Arabidopsis thaliana: one gene and its partner. The protein of the gene in region 1 interacts with the protein of each later gene in a pairwise test. Each region holds a gene or a part of one and is shown in the gene's direction. Other genes may lie near its edges.

The links. Proteins that work in one complex are often made in the same cells at the same time.
Region 2: the proteins of AT5G47920 (region 1) and SOB3 interact in a two-hybrid assay, tested with the Arabidopsis thaliana proteins (one large-scale study listed by BioGRID).

The regions. Positions count from the first base shown.
Region 1 is NC_003076.8:19,402,016-19,406,946, reverse strand, and holds AT5G47920 (transcription elongation factor), read left to right. Parts: upstream 1-2,799; 5' UTR 2,800-2,925; coding exon 2,926-3,489; 3' UTR 3,490-3,776; downstream 3,777-4,931. Other genes in the region: AT5G47930 (Zinc-binding ribosomal protein family protein), read left to right, coding at 404-524.
Region 2 is NC_003070.9:28,702,565-28,708,190, forward strand, and holds SOB3 (Putative AT-hook DNA-binding family protein), read left to right. Parts: upstream 1-2,398; 5' UTR 2,399-2,967; coding exon 2,968-3,876; 3' UTR 3,877-4,127; downstream 4,128-5,626. UniProt on the Arabidopsis thaliana protein: Transcription factor that specifically binds AT-rich DNA sequences related to the nuclear matrix attachment regions (MARs). Acts redundantly with AHL18, AHL22 and AHL27 in the regulation of flowering and regulation of the hypocotyl elongation.

The DNA.
Region 1 (4,931 bases):
ATTGTTTTATAAAGAGGAAAGCTTTCACTGTTTTAGATTAGTAGTGATTTTGGTTTTGCTTATTTTGAATAAAGTTTTATTGAACCTATTGATTGGTATTTGGAAGAAATTGTTCATCATTTGAATTTGTATTGATGTGAAGAGGTTACACTTAAAAACATATTGATTTGAATGTTGTATTCTTGAATATATAGATTGGTACGAAACTAGTGTTTTAGATACCTTATTTTGAATGTTTTCTTATTGAATCAGTTGTGAATTGTCGATTTTGCTCAGCTTAAATGCTGTTTTATCAACTAGAAGTTTGGTATTGGTAGAATTTTTCCAGCTCTTAAATAAGTATTGATTGTGAATTTGTAAAGAGGTTACACTTTGTGATGAATTGCTTGTTGTTATTTTGCAGAACCACTGTGTTCAGCCATTCTCAAACTGTTGTGGTATGTGGAAACTGTCAGACAGTTCTGTGCCAGCCCACCGGTGGTAAAGCGAGGCTACAAGAGGGATGCTCTTTCAGGAAGAAGTGAGATTGAGATCTCACGAATCATTCATCCGTTCGCAGATGTTTTGCTTTAGTAGTTTTGATATCTATGACGTTTTTCTGCTTATGAGAAGATTTTGAATGCATGATAAAACTACTAGCTGAGTAATTGTTCAGAACTTGGTCTTGTTGAAACAGAATATGCTTTCATTTTAAGTTTAAATCTTTCTCGGATTGCATCAGTTGTCTGGCTTCTTGTTCATGTTTACAATTCTTTAATTTGAACAAACAACCTTGGTTAAATTTTAATGACTTGTGCAAAAGAATTGTAATATTGCTATCTATGACTAGAAGATACTCAGACTTGACTTAACATGAGATATTCGGCCTGCTTTATGAAGTTAAGTTGATGAAGTTGTTAAACTTTAGCTAACTAGGTTAGGACTGAACGCTACACATCGGTGAGTGACGTGTTTGTAAGATGTTAGCTTTTGGTTGAGAGTTTAGTCTCTGGTTTGATGAATTGGAATAAGAATTGTTCTAAACAATGCTCCAATTTTATCTCTTCTGCAATCTAATATGGGAATGTCTTATCCGATGGCTCGAGGCTCTAACATGCATTAAGACTGGAAATATGTTTTACGGGCTGAGATCTAAAACTCTGAGCTGGAGAAGTTTTTTGAAATCTATGGTCATATTGACATACTACAACAATTGAACCCCATTTTTTGCAAGAAACTCTTTGTTAATATCGGTTGTACTCTATTGTCTAAAATCGAAACAACTCGATTCGTTTTGTGCAAATTTGGATACTGAGCAATGAAACTATTCCTTTTGACATCAATCTTAAAACTAATAATTGATAAATGACAAGACCAATGTATAATATCTTATGTTTTCCTTTCAACATCGACAATGTATAATATCTAAAATCTAGAAATCTAGAAAAGTATAGGGATTGAAGTGTGGTTCTAAGTGAAAGAGAATCTTGTAAAGCTAAATATCATGAGCAAGCAATTTCGCGGCGCCTTGAAATGTGAGAGAGACCAAGTGAGTAAACACTTTCCAATTATACAAAAACATCAAATGCTTTTTCTCCATCTCATCTTTGTGATTTTTAGAAAAAGTAAATAAGAATAGCTATTAAAAAAATTAAAGTAAAAGTAGTTGTGAGAGAAGTACAATGAATTTACGTTTGGATCTCTTAAGCTGTTTTTGTAACTTTACTGAAGCATCTTCCTAATTCTGAGTTTTTTTCTATAAAAACATATTTTTACACAAAGTTGATGGAACTTCTTTTTGGGTAACAAATGACACTTTTATTTAGATAACTTAGCTGTACAATTGCTTTCGTATGTAAAGTTAATCACATTTAAAAACAAAGTTGCTAATCAATCAAATCTTTTCAAAGAAGAAGTGGACAATAGTTTGAATTCCTTGTGGATGTATCTATGTCATTTACAAATTCTGTAATCTCAGTCCCAACTGCTCTAATTAATCTTTCTTATTAAATAGTACATTCTTCACAAAAACAAAAATCAAACAAAGAAGTTACAGAAGAGTTATTCCACTTGAGACTAATCGATCCATTTCAACTATACTCGTTGGGGGTGAATTTTTGGATTTCAGAGATTAATCGATCGGGATGCAAAACGCGTAAATAAAACCGTTTGAGATGTTTTACTCTCGAAATTCTTTATGTTGAAGCTCTTCAGAAGTGCTCTCTCATAACCATACCGCAACAATGCGATCTAGAGTCCACTTGTTGACTAGAGGCTCCAATTGTTGGAACGTATGATCCGGAGTCTAGAGGCCTCAACACCCGAACCACTCAAGAGTCCCTTTAAACATTTAGAATGTTAAAAACGCCATGTTGGCTTTACAAAAACTTTGTCCATATTTTTGACGTACCAAACATGACTTCTAGTCGAAAAATAATAACCATTTTAAATTCATAGTAGGCATGAATTATGTCGCATGATACTTTATAAGAAAAAACATACCCGACTCATCGGCAAAGCAACCTCGTTAGGCCACATTTTTATACGAAATCAACATAAACTTAATTTCTTGAGATCCTTTATCATAGAAAGAAGTAATATAGAAATATCAAATGCTTACGTTCGTAAATTGTAGGCACGATGAAATTTGATAAAAGAGAACGTGCATAAAGTTTGAACTAGAAAAAGCAAGTGATCCACTACATCAAATGGCTTATTTCCACGTGGCGAACTGTGAGAAGATTGCTGCGCCATTAAGTAAAACATATAGCCGTTAATTTAAAAACATACGACAAGACTCATAAAGCCATGACTTGTGGCCGTACCTTTCCATGGTCTATATAATCCCCGAAGGGCTCTCACCTCCAATGTTCCTTTCCATGCTAATTAAGCAACATCCAAAACATAAGTAAAACACTATTATAGAAGCTCTTACAAAGAAAAAATATGAAGAAAGCTACGGCATTGATGAAACATATCGTTGCATTGTTGAGTTCCATGGCGAAGGCAAAATCTATAGCCATAAAGAACAAAACGAGTGCTTTCAAGACACGAGTACTCATGTTGTCTCTAGTGAAACACAAGAAACTCGGGTTCCGTTCCATTTCCAACAAGATTCACCACCTCTTGGGCCATGCGGATCAAGACGACGATAACGACCAGGACCAAGACAAGAACAAGGCTATAGTCCTCTACAACAGCAAGGCATCCACAATGGCTCATCATGAGGAATATGACGTTCACGAGGAGGAAAGCGACAAGTATCCTGATCTGAGGCACACGTTGTTCGAAGGAGAGGAGGACTTCGGGGACTTGGAGGAGGAAGGTCAAGGTAGTTCTGTGATAGATATGGTGAGGACCTCGAAGGAAGAAGAAGGAGAGAATTTCAAGCTAGAAGATGAGATCGACCATGTCGCGGATCTCTTTATTTCTAGGTTTCATAAGCAGATGAAGCTTCAGAAACTCTTGTCCTTCAAGAGGTATCAAGAAATGCTAGCCCGAGGCACCTAAACCCATATCCATATATATATATAAACATGTTGGCAATAGATATGAATAATAGATTCATATTATGATCTTTGCTAACGTACGTTCTTATTTTGTGTTGTCTATGATAAATCCTTCGAGTTCTCTTATTTTCTAGGATCGAAATATTACGGTCTCTTAGATCTGTTTTCATTTAATATGTTGAAGTTGAAGGAAGGATCTGCTTTGCGGAATATGTTTTCTTCCTCCTTGAGACCGTACTGTGTAAGATCTTTTAAGTGTTACAATATAGAGCATTATTTTTTGGCTTATATGTCACTCCAGGCCTTAATCATATGTTGGTCCATTTGTTTCATTCGCTCAGACTCAACAGTCAGAATTCATGATCTCGTTAGCAATTCACTTTGCCAATTAGAGACACAAGTTTATGTTGTAAAACTACACTTAAAATGTGTTAAAAGTGTAATCTTGACATCACTAAAGTAACTATTGATACACTGTGAAATGCAAAGAAAATTGGAAGCTAGATAATGCACAAAATAGTGAAATATGAAGTAGAGTGTTATAATATTGAGTCTTGACATCACACTCCAGACCCGGCCTTGAGTTTTACAAGCCTACAAGTGAACAATGAAATGGGCCGCATAAGTTTTATCTATTTTAGAATTTTGTTGAAAAAACAAAAAAATTCGGTCTCACTTGTCTCAAAAGTCAAACCCATGAACTGATGATGTACCCACCATAATTGAACCACTAGACTTAAAGAAAGTTTTCTAGAAAAAAGCCAAACTCAAATTATATTATTAGCAGCTGCAAACCTATGCTTCGCCTGGTTGGCCCAAGGGCCGGCTCTACATAAGTCTCCTTCTTTATCTTAATTTGACGCTCAAGCGACCTATTCTGTAATCAACCATAAACTTTGTCAGTTTTCTTAGATTGTAGTAGGTTGGATTTGTTTTTGAACTTTTAGTTTACCTAAGGAACAAAATTAATCATTCGTAACCATTTTAAGGAAACAAACTTAACCATTCATAACGATTGTTTCTGATTATTATCGATAGCAATTGTATTTAATTATTTTGATACTTATATCAAGTTTTGATTATATTCTAGCTGCATAATTTTAAAGTCTTTTAAACTATCCCAAGTGCAAGGCAAATTAAAGTAGTGAATAGGGTATCAACCCATAAATAAAGACGTAAACGCAAGAAGACTTATGAAAAGCTAAACTAATCTAGCTAGAGTTGTGATATAAGATGCTTTTGAGTTAAGAAATTATTTGTCATTTTAACTAAAAGAACACTATTAATAACATATAAACAAGTTAAACACGCAAATGCATTGGTGAGCAAATAATCAAGACGTATCTAATGTTGATATCTCTATTCATTATGTTAAATGAGTAATGGGTATTGAATATCAAAACTATCTTTAGTTGTTAATATTCGAATATAAGTACAAAATAA
Region 2 (5,626 bases), on another chromosome or scaffold:
ATGTATAACAATAGTTTTCTAAATATAGTTCATATTCAACGTTTGAAAGAATGAACATATTAGCTCAAATCTGTTAAAATAAGTGGTGTTCTAAACACGAGAGTTCGATTACAAAACTAATGAATCTCGATCATTATTTTCTTCTATGTTAGAATACTGAAAAGACATTTAATTTGCAATACATTATCGCATAGTGTAATAAATGTTAAGTTCCACCTCTTAGCAAAAGACTGAGAGAGGAGGTCCAATGAACATCGTTGACAGGAAAAAAAGAGAAAAAAAAAACGTCTTAATTTTTTCTATACTTGATAAAATTTAAAAGACATTTAGATTATAATTATTAACATACTAAAAATGTGTTTCATAAATTGCAAAAAAAGCAAAGAATGGTTTGACTCATATTTATATGTAAGAAATAACCTTTGAGTTGAAAAGAATACACAAAATAACTTAGAACCAAATAGTACTTGTCGGTTACAGAAATTTTGGCAATATTTAGTCTATTTTAGCCTTTCTCTTTCTTCTTCCTTCTTTTATTTCTTTTTCATGTTCTTTACGAGACTTTAGCCATAGAGTTCTCTTTCTCTTTTCATCTTTAACACAATTCATCTTCTTCAGATTCACCATGTCATTTTCTTTTTCTATTTCTCTCTCCCTCTCCTAAAATAATCTTCACCACCTCTCATAAAATATATCATCATATCTCTTTATTTTTGTTCACCCACATGTTCTCTCTTTCTTTTTCCATAGAAATCTCTCTATCTCTCATTCTTTATTTTCTCTTTTTACCTGAATTCTCCGTCAATGTCGTTGTGATATAAGAGATTAAATTTGATTTTAAAACAAATATCTGATTTTAAAATGCATGTATTTTAAGAACAAAACATGTTATTAACACTAATATATTAATATTTGTCATGCTATCCAACAAAAACTCATGAAATAAATAAATATTTGTCATGTTATCCAATAAAAACCCATGTAATATTGTAATTTTTTAAATTTCGCAATCTATAAGAGAATTGCATGCTTTTTATAAATATTTCGTGCTATTTCTGAAAAACACATTATTTCAGAGAAACATATATATCGTGTATATATATTCTGTATGTATTTTAAAGAATTGCATGCTCTTTTGTAAATATATCATATTATTTTAGACAAATACATAAAAACTTTATAACTACAACCACCGATATTTTTGTAAAAACAAGAAAATCTAAGGATATTTTAGTATTTTATCCACCATAGAAAATGTTATTTACCTAAGTTTCCTGACACAAGGCTATTCTCTCAATTCTTTTCAATTCCATGGTTACTTTCTAATATTACCCTATATAATATTGATATTTTCAAACTTTTGATGTAAATATGAAATTTTCAATGTAGAAACTTAACACATGTCACTGGAGAGATGATGCTTTTTATATGTTTATTTTAAACAAATCCCACTTAAAATCTGTATACACTTTTTTGGGGTACCTTATGTAGATTATATCGAATTTCATGAATTTCTAACTTAGAAAGTTAATATACATTGATAATAAATAGTTTGGTCTATATTTTTTTTACTATCAATAATAATTTATAATTAGTTTAATAAAAATTGAAGTGCACTCACTCATGGTAATAGTTTTTAATTAGTTTTAGAATATATGACCAAGACCAAAAACATTTTGAAACTGAATTTAGTTTTGAATAGGTAGAATCTCGGTTTTAAAGAAAATGATGAAATTCATAATGGAAGGCGTTACATGCACACGCTTCAAGGCAATTCGATTCATGGCTAACATTTTTGATTCACTTTTATTTTACTTTTTGTCATCTGTTTATTCTGTTTCAATTAAGTGTCGTTTTAAGACTTTAATTTTGTTTCAGGATAAATTTTATTTTATATTTTCAATGCAAATATTTTTTTTTGTTAAAATTTCATGTCTTATCTATGTTTTTCTAACAGATTGACAAAAAAAAAATCTATGTTTTTCTAACGTATTAACTGATGAAAGAAATATAATTGTGTATTAATGAAAGATAGAAGTGAAACTTTAATTAAATTTTAATACTATATGTTAATTAACTTTAAACAGCATATAATGATAAATGGTGGGAGTATTACATTTGTTTCTAGGGAATACTGCATTATTATGCGGACAAATTTGATATGTAACTTTCAAAAACTTATACAATAATTTATATTTAGACTTCTCGTTTGTTTTCTATATAATAATTTCCAACAACTTTATCAAAAAAAATAAAAAAAAATTCCAACAATTTAATATCAGCATGTTTCTTCCATCTCCTATTCATATACCTTTGGCTTTTAAATTGTAAATTTCTTAATTTCCTTTTTCTTTAAATTTTAACTCTTAAAAGTTTTCCTTTATTTTCTTGGTTTGAAGCTATATGCCAAAAAGGGAAACGCATATATCCAGAGAAGAAAAACTCGAAACCCTTGTCTTTTCATGGATTTCAAGTATATTATTAATATGCAATTATTCGTATATTAATATATGCCCCTATGCGTATTTTATTTTTTAATGCGAAAGGAATGATATTCAGCTAAATTTTCGGTGTGTCTATTGCTTTTTTTTTCCCTTTCCTCGTTCAAAAAAAGTACTTGCAGAGTCACTCACTCTCAGTCTCAGCACATGAATTAATTTGAAGCTTCCCTAGAATTCTTTCACATCAATTAATACGACACCGTCTCGGGTGAAGAATCTCTCCTCTCTTGCCCTAAAGCGAGTTAGGGTTTAACACACAAAGCATACCCTTTAGATTTGTGTCTCTTAGCTCTGTTTTTGTCGGCTTGTGTAACCGATCAACTCAAGCTATTGGCTCCTCACCTCCTGAAATTTGACTTCTCCAATGGATCTCAAAGTTTCTCTTATATGAATTCTATCTTCACCCTCACAATATCTTTATATATATGAGCCACAAGAACAAGAAGAGTCAGTAGATGCGGCTGCCATGGACGGTGGTTACGATCAATCCGGAGGAGCTTCTAGATACTTTCACAACCTCTTCAGGCCTGAGCTTCATCACCAGCTTCAACCTCAGCCTCAACTTCACCCTTTGCCTCAGCCTCAGCCTCAACCTCAGCCTCAGCAGCAGAATTCAGATGATGAATCTGACTCCAACAAGGATCCGGGTTCCGACCCAGTTACCTCTGGTTCAACCGGGAAACGTCCACGTGGACGTCCTCCGGGATCCAAGAACAAGCCGAAGCCACCGGTGATAGTGACTAGAGATAGCCCCAACGTGCTTAGATCTCATGTTCTTGAAGTCTCATCTGGAGCCGACATAGTCGAGAGCGTTACCACTTACGCTCGCAGGAGAGGAAGAGGAGTCTCCATTCTCAGTGGTAACGGCACGGTGGCTAACGTCAGTCTCCGGCAGCCGGCAACGACAGCGGCTCATGGGGCAAATGGTGGAACCGGAGGTGTTGTGGCTCTACATGGAAGGTTTGAGATACTTTCCCTCACAGGTACGGTGTTGCCGCCCCCTGCGCCGCCAGGATCCGGTGGTCTTTCTATCTTTCTTTCCGGCGTTCAAGGTCAGGTGATTGGAGGAAACGTGGTGGCTCCGCTTGTGGCTTCGGGTCCAGTGATACTAATGGCTGCATCGTTCTCTAATGCAACTTTCGAAAGGCTTCCCCTTGAAGATGAAGGAGGAGAAGGTGGAGAGGGAGGAGAAGTTGGAGAGGGAGGAGGAGGAGAAGGTGGTCCACCGCCGGCCACGTCATCATCACCACCATCTGGAGCCGGTCAAGGACAGTTAAGAGGTAACATGAGTGGTTATGATCAGTTTGCCGGTGATCCTCATTTGCTTGGTTGGGGAGCCGCAGCCGCAGCCGCACCACCAAGACCAGCCTTTTAGAATTGAAAATTATGTCCGTAACATAGCTGTAACCAAATTTCATTTCTCAAAATTAAAAGAAAAAAAAAATCATCTTCATTGTTTGGGGATCGTTTGGTTTTTAATTTAGTTGATCATATATGAATATTTGAATTCGTCTTGAGATGATATACTTCTCCATCTGCATTTTCTCTTCTTTTTTAATCACTAGGGTTTCGTGCTGTCCCTATATATTATTTGTTATATGCTTGAGTTCACAATAAAAGTGCTATTAGAAGCCAATTTTTATATATCACTTAGTTACCTTTGTAATTGGATAACAAAAAAGTTATTGAGTACATTTTATAGAAATATTGAAATGGCTCATACTTGTATATATCATGGATGTGGTATGTGTAATCCCCTTTTTGAGTAGTTATCAAAGGTAATCACTCAATCTATGTTACTATGTCTATCAAGTAATCAACCAACAAATCAAACATCTTGTTCTTTTTAATTCATCTAGATACCATACATGAATCTTCGAGATTTTATGATTTGAAAATCTCTAGATTGAATATCTTGTTTACGCATGGAATCTCTGATTTAGTACATGTTTCACCCAACTGAGTTCTACATTGTATTTCGATGAGATCAATATGAATATTTCTTCGTTTTTATCAATTAATCACGAAAATAACGCGTTAAGAATCTACCAAAAAGTAAATAACGCTTTAGAAATTTTACGAAAAACTAAATAACTATTTAGAATTTTATGAGTTTGTTTTAAAGACAGCGGTTACTGTGATAATTGCATACTATATTTTTGTCGATTATAAGAAAAGATTCGCCCACCCGTTACAACGATATAAACATGATTTTTCGACGGTTACAAGTTAATGGCTTAAACACGAGAACATTACATGACCTGCCAAAACCAAAATATGAAAAATTTGTCCCAGAGTTTCATTTATCAGTTTCCTTTTAGAGGATTAGGAAAGTCTATAACAACACAGCCAAGTGGGGCTTTAAGTACAAAGATGTGTGAAAATGAGGAATGCATCAAGTCCCTAGGGAAACTATGTATGGACCGTATGAAAACGTATATTTAAAAAGAAAATCAAGTGAAAGGAAAAGCTTGTACATGACCAATGCATGTCCAAAGGAGATTTGTGGTGAAATATCTTCAATGAGCTTCTAAGAGAAGACAGGTGACATTTATGTATATAAGAAATGGAGTCTCATCATGTTTACTGTTATACAATGAGAATGAGAGATGGTTTAAAAACCTCTTATTTTCATAATTTTCATATATTTGACATTTTAGGGCTTCAACCATGTAAAGAGAATAAAGGGTAATGTACTTTGAGACCTTTTCGATACATGCACTGTGACTTTATCTTTTTAAGATATCCATGTGCTCATGTCAAGTGCCTTACATGCAGTTGAGCAACGATTGGGTTAAGAAATCTTGTTCATTGTGTGTTTTATACGAACGGCTGATAAGTAAACGTAAATGTGAAGGTTTCCCTATATATACGAATTATGATTGGATAGATATATAGATCCTTTAAGTAACATATGTTCTACACTATCTAGACTACTAACTATTTTACACCCAAAAAAGAAGAAGGTCTACACTATTGTGTGGGCCATAGAGCTTGAAGAACATATGTTACTTAAAGGATCATGGTTCGAACTACAACATTTTTAAGTATGATTTGTTATTGTAATTGTTTTACATGAAAATAATATCATACTTTTTCATAAATTCTGAAGATTGGTATGAATT